Drosophila melanogaster: one gene and its partner. The protein of the gene in region 1 interacts with the protein of each later gene in a pairwise test. Each region holds a gene or a part of one and is shown in the gene's direction. Other genes may lie near its edges.

Region 1 (11,077 bases):
GCCATCTTTCTGGCGAACATCCGAATTAATCGTTTGGTTCCTTGGAAGCAGCTAAAAATATACGACACCCTTCCAATACCACCAAACAGACAGCATAACCTTCTTTTGGTGGATATCAGCCATTGAAGTGAAACGGATCGAATTCATTGCGTTTAAGGTGCTTATCACAAGCGTTGATTCGGTGTGTTAAATGAATTTCTTTCAATACATGTGGTACCCAAATATCAAGCTTTTTCACCAGTCCAAGACTTTTTATAATGAACGGTTGATTTTTGGTATATTTAACTTCTCTCCTATCTCACGCTCAAGTTACATGACGATCTAATTCGATAAATAATAATGCTTTGATTTGGTCATCATCAACTTCATTTGGCCTGAACGTGGCTCATCTCTAAGTGAAAAATCTCCAGAACGGAATTTGCGAAACCAATTTTGACACTGTCTTCCTTTTAAGGCTTCATCACCATACCATCGTATCTCTCGTAACTTTCTAGCAACCTTCTCCGCGTTTTTTCCTTTACGGAAATAATAAAGTAAGATATGACGAAAATGCTCCTTTGTGGGCTCCATATTAAAATTGACGCCAAACAAACAAATAAAAACAAAATTTCGCGCACTTTTTTTTCTAATGGAAGCTAAAAGTAACAGCTGATAACTGACCAAAGAAAGAATGCAATTACAGAGTTACAAGCCGTTGAAAAAATTTGTCAACGCCGACTATATGAAAAATCCGCAATTACTTTTGGGCAATATCTTACTTTTTGGGCAATATCTTAGGTTGGTTTCAACGTTGCCAAAGTTCTTTTTTCCTTCAAAACAATTAAACAAAAGCCACGACGTTCACACGTAACTTTCTATCGTAACAATATCGATGTCGTCGGTTTGTTTTTGTTGCAGGCACATGGAAAGATACACATAGAATATAAGAAATCCGGTTAATCGAATTGCTACACAGGAAAAAACAAGGTGGAATAGTTAATTTGGTTATTTGCAAACTGACGTTATTAAAATTAAAGGCCAGGGCTATGGTTGAAATTTTTTTAAATTTACATTTCCTTCGGAGACAATATTTCTTGCTGTGTAAAGATCTTTGGTGCGAATGGGTAGAAATGGTCAGATGACAAAAAATTCACGCATAGTTATTATGAAAGGCACAGGTAGGAACAAAAAAAAAAAAGAGAAAAAAGCGGCAGAAGCAACCGGCCGGTACACATACACACAAACACACGCAGCTGAAGAGATTCCGCCGTACACGTGTATGTGTGTTTGTCGTCTAACTGCTTTTTGTACACGTTCACAAGTTTGCTCCTCCTTCGACACCCCAACACTACTCTCATCCCCTTTCACTCGTTTTTGAACGGCTACGTGAAAGTATTGTTTTCTTTTCGCTGTGTCACGAGCGGAATGGTTGTTGTTGTTGTTGTTGTAACAAATCCCCAGCCTCACTCACACACCAGCACACATGCCGCCTATCAATGAGAACAACGAACTTATGTATTTCCAAGGTGAAAAGAGAGCTGTCGCCGGTTCACCACATTTGCGCGCCATTTGCCAGGGTATTACAGATTACAGCCAGATGTGGGCCAAGTAAACATCTACAGGAGTATATTTAAATTTTTGTGCAAACGCCAATGAACAACGGGTTTAAATTCACTTTGTTATCAAGAAAATCCCGTTTTCTTTACTGGCAGCACTTCGCAGACATTTTGCCCATTAACAAGTGAAAAAACATGTGGCAACGCCATGTGTGACGTGAACGCGAATGGAAAGCGAAAAGCAAACGTACCAAAAACCAATGCCCTCAAAATAAATGTTAATTCCATCGAAAGAAAAAACAAACAATTCTTTTTCGAGTTTTCCTCCAGCTTTAAACGATTAATGTTTTATTGTTGTTGCTGGCTGAGTACTCACGACTGAACTGAATGAATCGCACTGGCAGTGTGTGGGAAATTCACCACGGCAAAGGCAACGAAGAAAAAAAAACAAAATGGAAGACGTGCCTTATGAAAAATGATACAACAAAGAAGTCTCAAGAAATGTCTTGGGTCTCAGTTCTTAGAAAAGGGAACAAACGCATTTCACTGTATTTTTACGCTTTTCGTTTTGTTTGGCCAGCCAGGCGGTTTAATCGATGGGGCACTCACTAATTCACGAATGCACTTTCACGCCGGGTACACTTTTGACACTTGGGCTTTCGGGCCGGAGAAATAGGAGCGAAATTAACCAAGATTTCTAATACGCAATTTTACGAATTTCGCACGATTTTTGTATTTTGCACCGCAATCTGCTGGCGTGTGTGAGTGCATGAGTTGGCCGTACGTGTGTGCGCGTGAGAGCGTGTGTGTGCGCGAATGGCCGCCGAGCGCTGTGCAATGGTGTGCGTGATCGTTGGTGTGGTGTTATACATAGCATTTTTTCGTATGTATGTATAAAAATATGAAATTTTCCACTTTGATGGGTGGAAATAGAGTGCCGAAAGTGGCACGAAAAATCGCTGAAAATTGCACAAACCTCTGTTTGTCGAGAAATCCGAAAAGGCGAAGAAACGATTCGAACGAATCGAGCCAATTTTACCCCACACACAAACACACGCGCACACCGAGCAATGGCAGCTGCGTCAAGTATTCAGGCGTTTTTTTTGGAAAGGAAAGGCTAGGCAGGCATTTTGTTAAAGCACTGTAATTGTTATGTAAATGCGATTTTCGGTCGCTTTTCGTTCTTACCGTTTGTGCCAAGTGTTCGTCTGTGGTTTTTTAAAGATTTCGCACTGCAAATTCACTAAATTTAAGTGTTTTTTCCTTAAAAAACTAGCTTATAAATAATTGTATGATTTTGATGCATACGATATTATAACCTAACTTATATGATAAATCGCCGCCACGTTTAATGCTGTGTGACCGCCGCCAGCCAAAAAAAATACCTCAAGTTGCACGGAATATACTAAAACATACTCCACATATATTCTGAATCTAACAGATACTAGAAAACAAATTTAAATTACGAATTTATATCTATCTTTTAACACGAAGGCTAAATATAAAGGAAGTTAAAGGGGACTGGTTAAAAAAATGTATTATAAATTATTTACATTAAAATGTAATTGTGCAGTACAATAATATCTTAAAGGTGAAAAATGTAATAAGATGTGTGTATATGATTTGTATGTACTATACTAAAAAAGGTTTTATAGTCGCTTTCTTTAGGCGGATGGAATGTTTTGAAAGGAAAAAATAATTTTGAGTATTTTTTTCGTAGGAGTTGAAAAGGAAATATTTAGATTTTCATTTTTCGGCCCTGGAAGTTATTGTTGCCAGACACTCCCGCCTTTTGCTGACCGTTACCCGCGGATTGAGCATAACTTTTGGTATATTTTTAGCGAGTCCGCAGTTTCTTTTAATGGTCTGTCCACGGTCACTCTGTTTGCTACCCGGTAAAATGAGTTTTGCGCTGCATTAAATAGAAAATAAACACAAAAATTCGCATCTGCCGACCGTGTTAAGTGACTAAAAGTGTTCGCCAGTGCGCGATTGACCGACCAAAGTGCCCAGGAAGGCGGTGGCAAGTGATTCCAACCCATCATCGATTTTTTTCTGCGCTGCTGCCACATTAATTTGGGCCCGGGGAAAAGCGAAATAAACAGAAATGTCGCGCCATCCGAGCGATAGAAAGGTGTACGTGGGCGATCTGGGCAACAATGCCCGGAAGAACGACCTGGAGTATGTATTTGGAGCGTACGGCAGTTTGCGCAGCGTCTGGATAGCCCGCAATCCGCCGGGCTTCGCCTTCGTGGAGTTTGAGAGTGCCCGCGATGCGGCGGATGCGGTGCGCGGATTGGACGGACGGACGGTTTGCGGGCGCCGAGCCCGTGTGGAATTGTCCACCGGAAAGTATGCTAGGTCCGGCGGTGGTGGTGGCGGAGGTGGTGGAGGCGGTGGTGGTGGAGGACTCGGAGGACGCGACCGAGGCGGCGGTGGTCGTGGGGACGATAAGTGCTACGAGTGCGGCGGACGGGGGCATTTCGCTCGCCACTGTCGCGAAAGGAAGGCCAGGCAGCGACGCAGGTAAGCGCAATTCGCATTTGCAATTCGCCATTTCAATTTTTCATTCATTGTCGTTGCCAAAAACTTCTTGCTTTTTGTAACATGGCGAGAGAAAGGCATACATACAAACAAACGCATACATACATACATGCATGCTTGTGTGTATGCGCATGCAAAAATGTTGAGTTTGTTTGGGCACCTCTGTCGCCTGTTAAAACTAACAGCGTGCTGTTATGCGCAATGAGTGCTGTTAATCCCAGCGCATGAAGTAGTTCTGTACCATAACAGCACGCACACGTGCTCGGGTGGCATACCCATTAATATCGATATGAGAAGTATATAGCTTCTACAATTGTCTAACAAAATCATGCTTGACAACAGTAGTTATCTATTCAGATAGTAATAACAGAATTTTGTTTTTAAGTCTATTATATAGACTATTATAAGTCTAATATATTGTAAAAATGTAAACACTTTCGTGATTAATAAATATATAAAATATATATATTTTATACTCTTGAGCACAAGAATTTGTCCGTAAATTGCACAAAAGCTTACAAATAGTTACGTGACAATGATTTAGCGAAGTCCTCTAATATATTTAATATTGATATTAAAGTTTGATTGATTTGATTAGAAATAGACAAATTAAAATAAGTGGTAAACAAAAGGGTAGCAGGCGGCTGCAAGACACCCTCCTACGCTATTTTCCCCGCGCTTTTACGTTCGTGGTGAATTAATTACAGTGGTGCTGTTATGCGCGAACCAAGTGGCAACGCCGTAGACCGAAGGCACACGTGCTTGCACTTCATTTTGGATTTTTCTTTTACACGCGGCATACGGAAAAGAAGGTTAAGTTGCTGCTGGCTGCCGAGAGTTTCGGTGGTTTTAAATTGAATTAAAATTGAAACTAAATGAGCAGAGCGTAACGCGATGTTTGTGCTCTACGAAACGCCGGCGGGCTACGCGATTTTCAAGCTGCTGGACGAAAAGAAACTGGAGCAGGTGGACAATCTGTACCAGGAGTTTGAGACTCCGGAGAAGGCCAACAAGCTGCTGAAGCTGAAGCACTTTGAGAAATTCAATGACACCACAGAGGCGCTGGCCGCTGCAACGGCGGCGGTGGAGGGCAAGGTAGCCAAGCCGCTGAAAAAGACACTCAAGAAGCTGCTCGTTGACGACGTGCAGTCTTCGCTCTTGGTTGCCGATGCCAAACTGGGCACAGCCATCAAGGACAAACTGTCGGTACAGTGTGTCTGCAACACTGGCGTCCAGGAGCTGATGCGCTGTATTCGCCAGCAGGCGGACAGTCTGCTTGGTGGTCTGCCCAAGCGTGAGATGACCGCCATGGCCCTGGGTCTTGCCCACTCCTTGTCGCGCTACAAGCTTAAGTTCTCGCCCGACAAGATCGACACAATGATTGTGCAGGCCCAGTGCTTGCTGGATGACCTGGACAAGGAGTTGAACAACTACATGATGCGTGCACGCGAGTGGTACGGTTGGCACTTTCCCGAGCTGGGCAAGATTATTACCGACAACATTGCCTTCGTGAAGACCATCAAGTTGGTGGGCACCAGGGATAATATGGCCACAAGCGATCTGTCCGACATTCTGCCAGAAGATGTGGAGGAAAAGGTCAAGGAGGCAGCTGAGATCTCTATGGGTACCGAAATCTCCGAGGAGGATGTGCTGAACATTCAGTGTCTGTGCGACGAGATCATATCGATCAACGATTACCGCACCCACTTGTACGACTACTTGAAGGCCAGAATGATGGCCATGGCTCCGAATTTGACAGTGCTCGTGGGCGACACCGTCGGCGCTCGACTGATTGCCCATGCTGGCTCGCTGATTAACCTGGCCAAGCATCCCTCATCTACTGTACAAATTCTGGGCGCCGAGAAAGCACTCTTCCGTGCGCTGAAGACCAAGAAGGATACTCCAAAGTACGGTTTGATCTATCACGCCCAGTTGGTGGGACAGGCAAGCCAGAAGAACAAGGGCAAAATGTCGCGTTCACTGGCCGCCAAAGCGTCGCTTGCCACGCGTGTTGATGCCTTTGGCGAAGAGGCTACCTTTGAGCTAGGAGCGGCTCACAAGGTTAAACTGGAGTCTCGGCTGCGACTCCTGGAGGAGGGCAACCTGCGCAAACTCTCCGGCACCGGCAAGGCCAAGGCCAAGTTCGAGAAGTACCAGGCCAAGAGGTATGTTTTAGCTGTCAATTATATAAGAGTAAACAGATTTCCAGTGATGATACCCAAAAGGTTTCGCATGTATCCGATTAAGATGACGATAAACCTTGGCTGTCTGAGCGAAATTGGGTTTACAATCAGGCTATCTCTCGATTGTTCAGTGTATTTAATTTATTTCTTAACTTTTTAGCGAGGTGTTCACCTACCAACCAGAGGCCGACAACACCTTGAACGTGAAGAAGAAGCGCAAGCACTCCGAGTCCGAACAGCAGACGCCTGTTAAGAAGGAGGAACCTGCTGAGGAGGAGGCGGAGGTCAAGTCCGAGAAGAAGAAGAAAAAGAAGAAGAAGCAGAAGGACGAAGAGGTGGAGGCCGTTGAGGAGGCGGCAGCACCAGAGCCCGAGGATCAGCCAACACCAGCAAAGAAAAAGAAAAAGTCAAAGCACCAGGAGTAATTTCCCACCTTGACTAGTTAGTAGGCCTTAAGTTTTAGCATCATAGGTTACCTTACTGTAAAGTATAGGATTTTATAATTACCAAAACGATTAAAGTTTCCGGTGTACATTAGAAATAAAATGTAATATTTGCATAACAAAATACAAATGTTAATATGTTATTCGTATTGGTTTTGATATACTTAATTCTTAAGAAAGCAATTGCAATTGTTTAATGTCCTTTGATTTTAAGAACTAAGCTACCTCTTAGGCATTCAGTTCTTGTCTGCGAAGCTTAGCAACATATTTCAAAAGCAGCTCCCAATTTTGGAGGCCAATCCGTCACTCGCTGCGAGGTAAAAAGTACGTTTGACTGCGGTAAAGGGACCAATGGAGCAGAAAGTTTTTACGTCAGCCCCAATTGCTTGCATCATGATGCCAGGCCCAGTCATTTTGACCATTTTGTGGTCAACGGCGTGGTATATAAATGCGATTGCAACTGGTGCCATTTGAACGAGAAAACTATGCGAGATGCATGGTCATTTTAAGTTGCTGCTGGTCCTGGGACTCCTGCTGACTTACGCGGCAGCCAAGAAGAAGGAGGCCTCATCATCCGAGGAGGAGGAGGGTGGCGACAAGTACGAGAAGAAGAAGTTCGGTGACGAGGAGCACAAGGGTGAGCACGGACACAAGGAGCACAAGGAATGGGAAGAGGACGAGAAGAAGCACCACGAGGTGGAAGACCACGAGCACCACCACGGCGACAAGGGATCGAAGAAGAAGAAACACTACGATGAGAAGGATGAGCATGGTGAGAAGCATGAACACGGCGCTCACAAGAAGGGCGGCAAACATCATCACAAAAAGAAGCACAAGAAGGGTCACAAGGAATTAGAATACCACAAGAAGTTCAAAAAGGACGAGTACATCAAGGAGAAGAAGTTCTACGATGATGAGCACAAGGGCGGACATCATAAGAAGTATGGAAAGGAGCACCATCATCATGCCGAGGAGCACGGCGAGCACAAGAAGGGCGAAAAGCACGAGGGCGGCAAAAAGAAGGGTCACAAGAAGCACCACGGACACTACAAGAAGGGTCACCACGACGAGGACCACAAGAAGTACAAGAAGGAGCACAAGTACGGCGACAGCTTCGAGGAGAAGAAGGAGCACGGCGAGAAGGGCTCCAAGAAGCACGGCCACAAGCACTACAAAAAGAAGGGCGGCAAGCATTGAGCAAGCTATATTATACATGTGATCTTTATGTGAAATGCAGAATTAAAACTGGGAGAGGTTCTAGAATATTATACTGTCTTGTGTTTTATTCAATAAGCTGTTAAAACTTAATCTGCTAAAAGCTAGTTTTGATACTTACAATGTTTCAAATAATATAGCACACTATAATATATTTAAATGTATTAGTATATTAGTATATACATATATAAGGTAGCTTAAATTGTTACGTTTTTTGAAAAGCCTGATAGCTAATCACGACGATTTATCCCATTTCATTTCCAGAAGCAACTCATTCAGCAGATCTCGGAGCACATCGCGACGCAGGCGCACTCGCTCCAAGTCCGGAACTCGATCCCGCAGTCGCTCCGCCGGCTCGGTGGGCCGTCGCTCCGGCCGCTCGAACGGACGGGACGAGAACGGATCGGCGTCGAGGTACAGCGACCACGAGCGCAACGGCAGTGGAGCGGTAGATTCACCGCCGCCGCCAAAACGGCGCTATGAGGATGAGGACGATGACCGGGTTAGGGGATCGCCGCGGTCGCGTTCCCGATCTCGATCGGCGTCGCCAGCGGTGCGCCGTGGATCGCCGCCCAGGCGTCGTGGTGACTCGTCCGCCTCACGATCCGTTTCAAGGGACTAGCGACAGCGAACGGATGCAGACGGAGCCCGACATGCGATGATGAGGGCCGGAGCTGCAACCCCCCGATGAATCCGGCGAGATGGGCTCTCCACGCACTGGACTCTAATCCTCATTCCCAAAAGAAACAACCTCACGTGTAACAAGACAGATTCCCAAATACTTTTTCATGCAGTATCCATCTAAGGTTTTTAGTTGTCCAAAACCATATTAGTTAAGGGTTTTAATTTATAGTGGAACTCGAGTTTGCATATTTAGGTATTCTAATGTTCCAACACAACAACAAATACAAGCACACGCAGAACAAAGGAGAGCGCTTCGGAAAATCATTTGACGGAAGGAAATTTAAGATATAGAAATGTATCGGCAGCCGCAGATTAACGATCTAGTCAGGATTGCTATGTAAATTGATTTGCCTTGGATTTTATTTTGCTTACCCTGGAATTATACTCGAATGTGCAGAGGACGAAGCATCGCCACCATTTTCATGTCAATTTTACACAATTTTCAATTTATGCAACACAACAACTTGATTATTTGACTCCAATCTCTGTATGATGTGTTTCTATATTCGTAATAATTAAGTATTGCAACAGTGCATAATAATTATTCATACATTGATGTCATAGTTAAGTATTAAAAAAATACATATGTATGGATTCTTGAGATGTGTGTTTGAATTATGTAGCAAATGCGCTGAACACTAAAATACAGATATTCAATCAATAAATTAAATGCCAAAATTAGTTGTTTTCCATTTGAATTTGGCGGGCTTTATGCGGTCTTGAACAAGTCTGGTCACTCAGTTTAGAAGTAGGTGCGCATTATTTAAATTGGTATTTTTGCCAGATGTTTAGTATTTTGTTTGTTTGGTAACTCTGCACTTCCAGTTACTTAGTATTTTTTCAGTCAGAGCTGGTATTTTATTGCGCATCGGGTACGGCCACATTATTAGACTAGCATTCCTCCAGTTAAATTTTGTTTTGTGTTTTGTTTTGCATTTTTTTTAACTATTGCCTTTACTTTACTGCCGCCGGCTTCCATACAAATAGTTCTGAAATCAGAAATAACGAACAGAATCGTCTTTCAACGTGGTCAGCTGGACAGCTACAGCAACAATGGCATTCCGCCAGTCGGAGCACGAGATGAGCGTCACCTCACTCGATTCAAGCGTCGAACTGAGATCGCGTTCGCCATCGCCGCAGGTCTTCAATCCGCGCAAGCTCCGCTTCGCCGATGATGACTTTGACAAGGACACGCCCGAGGGAGCGAGTCCGCAGCATCCCCTTCAGCAGCGGCCGAAGCTATCCTCCGGTGAGGAGCAGCAGCTGGACAGTAAGATAGGCAAAGAAGGCGGCGACGGGGACGTGTCCATGTCGCCGCCATGCCAAAAGGTGCGGGCCCTGCGACTCTTTAGCACACCGGCCACTCCAAAGACCATCCTGCAGAAGTCGACGACGCAGTGCAGCAACCATCTGTCGGCGGCAGCAGCGGCAGTGAATGCCTCCAGGCGCAGCGACGACCTCTTCCGCCTGTCAGAGCGCCCGCGATCTCTGCCACTGCACAACCGCAAACTGCCCACCCAGGACACGGCAAATGTGAACCCCTTCACGCCAGATAGTAAGTTTAAAACGTTTCTCGCTTTTGATATTTTAATTAAATAAAGGTATCAATTTCCAGTTCGTTGCTTTAATTTGCACTCCACTTTAACCCATCCCAGCTTAGTCTTATTAGCAATCTAATAATCATTTTTTTTATTTTTAGGCCTCATGGCTCACAATAAGAAGCGCTGTCGCACGCAATTCGGACGCGAAAACCTCAACCTGAACGTGAATGCTATGCAAAAGTATTTGCTCAGTGATGCCTGCGACGACGATGTGACGGAGGAGGCGGGCGACTCGATGCGCGAAATCCACCAGCAGGCACCCAAGCGGCTGGCCCTGCACGACACGAACATCAGTCGCTTCAAGCGGGAGTTCATGCAAGTCAACGTAATCGGCGTTGGCGAGTTCGGTGTGGTGTTCCAATGCGTCAATCGACTAGATGGCTGCATATATGCGATTAAAAAGAGTAAGAAGCCGGTGGCAGGCAGTTCTTTCGAGTGAGTATTCATTAGTTATTGCAACGAGCGTCGTTTAACAATCTATTTGCTTGCAGAAAGAGAGCCCTGAACGAGGTCTGGGCCCATGCTGTATTGGGCAAGCACGATAACGTGGTTAGATACTATTCCGCGTGGGCGGAGGACGATCATATGCTGATACAGAATGAATTCTGCGATGGTGGCAGCTTGCACGCGCGCATCCAAGATCATTGTTTGGGTGAGGCAGAGCTAAAGATTGTTCTCATGCATGTGATAGAGGGCCTACGCTATATTCATTCAAATGACCTGGTGCACATGGATCTGAAGCCCGAAAACATATTCTCCACCATGAATCCCAATGCACACAAGCTGGTGGAGGTGCAGCCGCAGCAGACCAAAGATGACGATGGCATGGACAGCGTCTATGAAGAACTGCGCCATTCAGAGAATCTGGTTAC
Region 2 (8,148 bases), on another chromosome or scaffold:
CCTCATCTGGAAGTCGGTGTGCGGCAAGCACGGCGCCTGTTCACTCTACGATGCGGACACTTTCCGGCAATATTTCCTAGGTGAGTCAGAATCTATAGGAAAATATAAAAAAAATATCTAAATTACTAATCTCTGAGTGATTATGTACCTTACTATGCAAGATAATAGTCCCTTAATTTATAAACAGAAATACTTAGTAAGCTATCTGTAATTCCCAGGAATCACGGCTGGCATTATGTTCCTGGCATTCCTGATGGATCTGGTGGTGTGGCGCAAGGCGCATCGCATTGACATCGCGCCCGAGGATCCGCAGGAGGGCGGGCCCGCTTCCAACGGAAGGACCTTGGAGGTGTCCGAGTCCAAGCAGCCCATCACCCCGGCGCCGGACACGACGGTCTAGGAGGAGCGGGTCGGCGACGAGCCTTGCACAAGCTGCAGGATTTCCAATAAACGTTTACCTTAATTGTTAATTAGTTATCATTTGTCTAGTTTGTTAGCCTAGTGCAAGAGTTATGTATTTAGTTAAGTGGCATCTTCGAGCGTCGGGAGACCTCATTCAAATCCACATTAGAACGCGCTCGTCCAGCTCCCGCTCCCGATCCTGCTCCAAATCCCAGCACCATATTCTACATGAAGCCCATGGATTGCGATTTGAATCCTTGTAAATCTCAACGCGAAACAATGAAATGAAATTCTAGACATTATCTAACGTCATGCATGAGCGTAGTTAATCGACGAGCTAATACTACAAACTGATCGACAATTGTGCAAAGTGCAAGAAAATTTATGAATCCTTATGTGTAAACTATATGTAACAGTTATATCGCGATGTATGTAATCTATAATTAATATATTAGACATACACTTACATGTATGTATGTAATTGCAACCTATCTGTGGTAGTTAAATTTTAGTTAAAATTCAAATTAATTGTCTAAGTTTGTCATACAACAAATATATACGAAAAGAAATTAAATGGAAAACTATATACAAGTAATAAAAACAGATGTTTAAATATGAGGATGGGCTGCTCAAGGATAATTAAAAAATGAAGAGGAAAAGTTGCTAGTTATCCTTACTTATAAATTAGAAACAAGTTGTAGGCTGATTAGTTGTTGGGCCAGTAAATCCTTTCCCAATTTTAAACCCGTTTAAAATTCAATTCTCTACCAAAAATGTATTTTTTATTAACAATTTCAATAAAAAAGTCTTAAATTTACGAAATGCAACATCGCTGCATCTGCCTTTCGCCTAACAAAAACAACAAATTGTGTTATACAAAACGAAAACTTGAAATGTTTTGGGCTATTGTCTCTGAAATAACAAAAACAGTTGATGAGTAAGTCGTGCCCAGCGGGCAGATCGCAAGTGGAGATTGTCTGCGTACGCCCACAGGTGAGTACAATAAAGTAATGGTATCAAAATCAGCTATCCGGCGACCACAGCTTAAATGTGCGGTCAAATGAGGTCGTGGCTATATACTGCGAGTTGGGCGCGATGTCCACCGATATGACCTTGTTGTCGTGGCCCTGCAGCGTCTTCAACGGCTGCCACGTCTTGTTGGACCAGATCTTGGTGGTCGAGTCGTAGGAGCAGGTGACCAGGAAGCTGCCGCACTCCTGCTGGTACTTCACGTCCGAAATCAGATTGGTGTGCGCAGGAATGGTATAGACCGGCTGGCGTCGCCTCAGGTCCCAGATTTTACATGTGTTGTCCTGGGACCCTGTTGCTATGTGGAATCCGTTTGGAGAAAAGTCCACGCCGAAAACGGCGCCCAAGTGTCCCTCCAGAAACATGATGCACCGCCCAGTGCGCAGATCCCACACTCGTCCAAAGGCATCCAGACCGCCGGTGACCAGGACACTGCCGTCGGAATGATAGCTAAGGCAGTGAACCGGCTTTGCGTGCCCTTCCTGGTGAAGCACCTCTGTCTTTTGCTCCAGATCCCACAGCCGCCAGCTAGAGTCGTAGCAGGCGGTGGCCAAGAAGCGGCCGGAAGGATGGAAGGCTACCTTAGAGACGCGATGCGGCATGTGGCCGGTGATGTCGGCAATCGACTCTTCGTTGTTGAAGCCCCACAGCTTGACGGCGCCATCGTGGCCACCGGAAGCCATGGCCACCACGTTCTCCTCGTCTGCCTTAACTCCCGGCCGCAGAGCCACTCCGCCCACATAGCTGGCATGTCCACGCAGCGTCTGCTTCAGCTCGCAATCGGGCACGCTCCACAGCTTGCAGAGACCCGACCATGAGGAGGTCAGAAGGAGTGAGGAGTCTTCACTGAAGGCAGCACTACTCACGGGCCGTGTGTCACCCACCTGGGAGCACAGTGGAGCCAGCGACTGGAGCTTCTTCTGCATCTCCACCATTCGGCCGGCACGTGCTGCGCTGGGCACTTCAAGGGCCTCACGTGCTCGTACCAAGCGATCCTTGGCGCGCGGCAGGGAATAATCCGCCAGCCAGAGTCGAGCGATACGCAAACTATCGGGTCCCTCGTGGTACCAGGTGGCCTGATCCTGCTCCCGCTGTTGCTGCTTGCGCTCCTCATCCTCATACTGCCTCTTGTTGATGGCGTTCTCGCCCAATCCAGCCAAGAGTTCCTTAAGACGTCTTCTTCGCTCCGCCGGTCCTTCTCCAAAATAGCAAATGGGTTCGTTTAGCTGGCGCAGATTGCTCTTGATCTCCGTGTCGTCTGTGGACACATTTATCTGTCGTGCTCGCTTTTTCCGCTCAAATTCCTCAAGGAGCGCCACCTTGTCGCGCTCCATTTCCATCTCTAGATCGAAGTAGTCATCGTCAATTTTGTTGGCCAGAGTAGCGGCTGTGGGTGGTGGTGCTCCGGCCTGCTTGGCGTTGCTTGTCTTTTTCGTGGACTCCTCGTAATCCTCATCGGAATCGATGTCTTCCAGTTGCCCGCCTGTTCCAGTTGTTGTTGTTCCTGCCCCAGACGATGCCGTCGTTCCCGATGTTGTTGTTGCTGCTGCCCCAGACGCCGCGGCATTTTGCCGCTTGCGTTCCGATTCCTCGAGCGATCCATAGTGCAGCGTTCGCTGCCGCTTAATGTACTGTATATCGTCGTCATCGGACATCGTTGCGGCCAGCAAACAAGTGCAAAATAATTAATTTTAAAATAAAATTTCGCCGAAACAACGAAGAAACAACAAAAAATATTGCCGTAAAGAAAACGTTTTGCTGCCTAGTGTTGAGCAACGCCGAGAGGGGTGGTTTAGTGATGCCATCACCGATGTTTAGAGCGGTATGCAGCGAATAAGCAATAGTTTTTAGATCGATATTGTTTGTTGTTTATTGTTAAATGAACGGTTTTTGAAACTCTAAATTATATTTAAAACAATAACTATTTAAAACTGAAACTTTATTCCACGTGTTTAATAAAATTTTATATTAAGATCGCGATATACCGTTATTAGAGAGAACTACATTTGTTCTTGGAAATTAAATGATGTGCCTTTGTTTTTTATTTAATCATTTAATCAACAATAATCTATATACTTGGATCTGAACAAAAGCCGTTACTCCCAGAAACCGTGACTTTTCACCGATATATCGCCTACTCGTGCTTCACAGCACTGTTTTTCAGCACTACCCCATTTTAGAACATCCTCACGCACGCACGCACAGAATTTTCTTAGGTGATTAAAAGTGAGTGAAAATTGAGAATTTCCACACGCGTCGCACGCTATTGGTCACAAAGCCAGTGAGATAGCTGTCACTGCCACCGCTGCAGCATTTTTCACGCGCTCCTGGCCAGAAGGATATGAGCGCGCCGAGCAACAAAATGTCGGCCACCGATCAGATGCGAGCAATGCTGGACCAGCTTATGGGTACCACACGGAATGGCGACGAGCGCCAACTGAAATTCTCGGACCCCAGGGTCTGCAAGTCCTTTCTGCTCGACTGCTGTCCGCACGACATCCTGGCGTCCACGCGCATGGATCTCGGTGAGTGTCCCAAAGTGCATGACCTGGCTTTCCGCGCAGATTACGAAAGTGCCGCCAAGACGCGCGACTACTACTACGACATTGAGGCCATGGAACACCTGCAGGCCTTTATTGCCGACTGCGATCGACGCACCGACTCCGCCAAGCAAAGGTTGAAAGAGACCCAGGAAGAGCTGACCGCCGAGGTGGCTGAGAAGGCCAATGCTGTCCATGGCCTCGCCGAGGAGATTGGCAAGAAGTTGGCCAAGGCCGAGGCCCTGGGCGAGGCCGGCGAAGTGGAGGACAGCATGGAGCTGATGAAGGAGATCGAGGAGCTGCGTGCTAAGAAGATCAAGGCCGAGCACGAGTACCGCACATCTATGCCCGCATCCACCTACCAGCAGCAAAAGTTGCGCGTCTGCGAGGTATGCTCCGCCTACCTCGGGATTCACGACAATGACATACGTCTGGCGGACCACTTTGGTGGTAAGTTACATCTCGGATTCCTCACTATCAGAGAAAAGCTGATCGAACTGGAGAAGACGGCGGCGCCGCGGAAGGCGGAGCTCAAGCGGACGGGTAAGATGACGGACCGCGAGGACGAGGGACGCGGACGCAATCGCTACTTTGTAGGTGGTCGTGAACTGGACCGCCGCTCTCGCGTACATCGTTCCCGCTCCAGAGAACGACAGCGCAACCGGGATGGGGACCGCGAACGCCCCAACAACGGACGCGGTCCTGAGGAGAAGGGGAGTGAGCGACCCAAGGAAGCGGCAGATGGTCCGGAGCGAGCCGAAAGGGCACCAGATCGTGGAGGACGGCGAGATGACAGGGACAACCACGGCAGGGATCATCGCGAACGGGAACGCGATGGCAGGCGGGATCGGGACCGACATGGACGCAACGACAGAGGACGCTTTGGTGACAGAGGCGGCGGTGGAGGAGGCGGTGGCCATCACCGTGACGACAGACGCCGCTCAAGGTCCAGGGAACGCTCGCCACGCGAACGGCGGAACTTTAACCACTTCAGGGATGGTGGTGGCGGCGGAAATGGCCAGCGCAAACGATCCTACTCCCGTGAGCGCAACTACCGCCGCTAGGCTAGAATCCCGCCCAGCGCACGTACGTAGCATTAATCACATGAACTATAATGCCACCACAAATTGAACTACTGAAAACAACAGGAACCGAATATTCTTAGCGTAACCAATAAAGCAACCTAGAGCCACACTTTCGACGCTCCAATATGAAGATACAACTACCTTTGTACATTTTTAATAATTTAATTGATTTCTATTTTTGATCTTGCGTTCCAACCTCTAATGACAAATTTTTGTTACTACCCCAAAGTAAACCGAACGCAGTCCAAGACCCCAGCCTCAATAAAAACTTTAAGAGAAACGATATACTCGATATAATGCGATTGAAATTATATAGTCCCCGTCCAGTCCAGTGTACTTGGCACGTAGAGACAGAAACCCAAACAGAAAATAGAAATCCCAACGAATCGGCAGTGTTGTCAATTAAAGTTCAGTTCATTGTAATTCGGTTAGGACACAGCGGCAGTCAAGTTAAAGATAACTAATTTATAAGGATTCAGAGCAGGAGAAACGTTTAATATATGATATTTTGTGTGTTGTATAGCTAGCTACAAGTTGGTAACATTGACTGAAACCCAACCAAACCTGACCACATTCGACCATGTACTCTTCTCAGCTAACGATCACGTTCACCCAGTCGAAGTCAACGTGTGTTGTGCATCGCTGTCGTCCCGCTTTGGGGTAAGCCTCCACCATATTTAACTCTGACACACTCCATCACTGCTCTGATTTGATTTCATTTGATATGATATGATTTGATTTGATTTGTAACCCCAAAGCGTTCTCTACTTGAAGTTCCGTTCCACACTTTCGCAGCCGCTTAAACTCTCGCACAGCTTCGGTACGTATTGAGTATGGCGAGGTGACTATATACATTATACCAGACCAATGTTAGTTGTTTTGGCAGATATGCGTATTACATAGATAATCCAGATAATATAGCTTGGGTACGTATCCATACCGGCCGACGACGTTTCCTTTTGAATCGTCGAATGAGAGTGTCGTTTATTTATTCGGTTCTGGGTACGTATTAATGTTAGAAGATCACGACTGTGGTACGTATACATATAACGACTATAATGGTGCCCCATAAGCAAGCCAGGCTCTCTAGGGTTCTCGGCGATCCAGATCCCAACGTACGTATTTCTCCTCCTCCTTTCTCTCTCTCTTGAAAATAAATAATAAAAAATACAATCACCACAAACCAAAATAAATTTTAATCTCGTAGCTGTTTAGAGGCAATTGAATTAAAATCCGTTTCTTACTAAATCTCTGTTTATCTTGCCAAATGGTACTTGAACCACTGTAATGATGAACTCCAATTAAGAACACAAGTCCGTTTTAAGTTGAAGGCAGCCGTCGGGCTGACATATATTTATTCAATTTCTTCTTTTGATTTTAGAGTAGGCAGAAATGGTTCTGTCAGCTCAACGTCTACAGAGTCTCTCTGATTTTACAGTTTTTTATATATTTTGACTTAGGCTAATCCGCGTAGCTGCGCTGCCGGGTACGCCAGCAGCGGAGCGGCGTTCTTATGTATATCTTATATATCTAGGCTTATCGGGAGAGCGAGATATGTATGTACGTATGTAATATGTATTTGGTCGGCGTGTGAATGCTGACCATGCACTTATACTTTTTGCCTTCGAGTGGGTGATCATGTTACATCTGCCCTGGCCTAACTGCGTGCATAAACATAAACATAAACATAGCAACAAAGTGCTGCCATAAGTTAATATGCTATTTTATTTAATTGTTCTTAATATTGCATAGGCACATACTACATCTCCCTCCTTTTGAAAAATAACGTAACCTAGTGAAGTTATTTTGATTATTAAATGCAAATTATTTTATTTTTATTTTTATTTTGTTTGTGTTTTTGTTTGAACAACAATAGTTGATTTTATAATGCAAAGATAAAAATATACGTAGTGTATGGAAAATTTGTATAAATGATTAAGGAAAATATAAGTTTAAATTCAATCATGAATGAAATTTCTTTAATCTATCTTTATGAACTATTTGTTTTTTGTTTTTATTAGTAAGTAGCGTAATATTGTTATTATCTCCTATGCTTTCTATCTTATAGGGCCCCGTATATTTAAAGTCTAATTTATGACCTACCTCATTTCTTAGTAAAACTTTATCTCCTACTTCTAATTCTATGTCTTTTACTTTTAAGTCATAATTTTCTTTATTTTTTTCTTTGTGTGCTTCAAGAAGTTTTCTTGCTCGAGCATATGCTACCTCTAACCTATATTTACTCTCCTTAGCGTAATCATCTATGTTATATATTGGTTCTATGCTATGTAGTTTATTAAAATGTTTTGGTAAATTACTTGTTCTACCGAAAACTAATTCATATGGACAATAATTATGTACCATAGATTGGGTCGTGTTGAAGCAGTATACGAAATATTGAAGCCATACGTCCCAATCGGTTTTGTCCGTCGATATGTAGGATCGTATATACTCGTTTAAAGTTCTATGACTTCTTTCTACTACTCCAACTGTCTGGTGGTGATGAGCTGTTGATGTTATATTTTTTATTTTCAAATATTTACACAGGTCAGTAATTATTGAATTCTTATACTCTGTTCCCATGTCCGTTATGAACGTCTTCATTGGACCGTACTTTAGAATAAAAGATTCAAATATAGCTTTTGCGACTGTTTTTGCGCTTTTATTTGCTATTGGTATGGCAACTAAGTACTTGGTTAAATCACATATGAGAGTGACTGCGTACTCGTTACCATTTTCTGACTTGGGTAGTGGACCAATTGTGTCCACAACAACTCTATCGAAAGCATGTTCTGGTGTTTCAGTTATCGTCATTGGAGTCTTTGTGTGCTTTGTTGTTTTTGCTTTTTGGCATTTTTGACATTTTCTTACGTACTCTTTTATGTATTTACTCATATTTTTCCAGTAATAATGTCTTTTGACCTTGGCCAAGGTTTTTGTAATGCCTGTATGCCCTCCTTGTATTGGATCATCATGTAATGTAGACAATATAGCTTCTTTTTCTTTTTCATTATTTATTTGGGTCACCGGGTTAAGTAGCGCTACTTTTAAATTCTTTAATATTTTATTGCCCATATTTTTAAATTTATCTA

Evidence for each region. The genes of interacting proteins can lie anywhere in the genome.
Region 2: the proteins of x16 (region 1) and CG7564 interact in a two-hybrid assay, tested with the Drosophila melanogaster proteins (one study listed by BioGRID).

Annotation. Positions count from the first base shown.
Region 1 is NT_033779.5:6,912,508-6,923,584, reverse strand, and holds x16 (x16 splicing factor), read left to right. Parts: upstream 1-3,374; 5' UTR 3,375-3,642; coding exon 3,643-4,061; intron 4,062-4,841; exon of another isoform or gene 4,842-4,973; coding exon of another isoform or gene 4,974-6,244; intron 6,245-6,274; exon of another isoform or gene 6,275-6,375; intron 6,376-6,422; coding exon of another isoform or gene 6,423-6,687; exon of another isoform or gene 6,688-6,832; intron 6,833-7,139; exon of another isoform or gene 7,140-7,197; coding exon of another isoform or gene 7,198-7,902; exon of another isoform or gene 7,903-8,004; intron 8,005-8,184; coding exon 8,185-8,542; 3' UTR 8,543-9,204; downstream 9,205-11,077. Other genes in the region: nop5, read left to right, coding at 4,974-6,244, 6,423-6,687; CG32829 (uncharacterized protein), read left to right, coding at 7,198-7,902; Wee1 kinase, read left to right, coding at 9,658-10,159, 10,304-10,640, 10,697-11,077. UniProt on the Drosophila melanogaster protein: Serine/arginine-rich splicing factor (SR protein) involved in differential exon usage during RNA transcript processing, probably by binding exonic splicing enhancer elements and recruiting components of the splicing machinery.
Region 2 is NT_037436.4:17,510,696-17,518,843, forward strand, and holds the start of CG7564 (uncharacterized protein), read left to right. Parts: upstream 1-3,602; 5' UTR 3,603-3,772; coding exon 3,773-5,035; 3' UTR 5,036-8,148. Other genes in the region: Oatp74D (organic anion transporting polypeptide 74D), read left to right, coding at 1-80, 219-400; U4-U6-60K (U4-U6 small nuclear riboprotein factor 60K), read right to left, coding at 1,425-3,086. UniProt on the Drosophila melanogaster protein: May bind to RNA via its Arg/Ser-rich domain.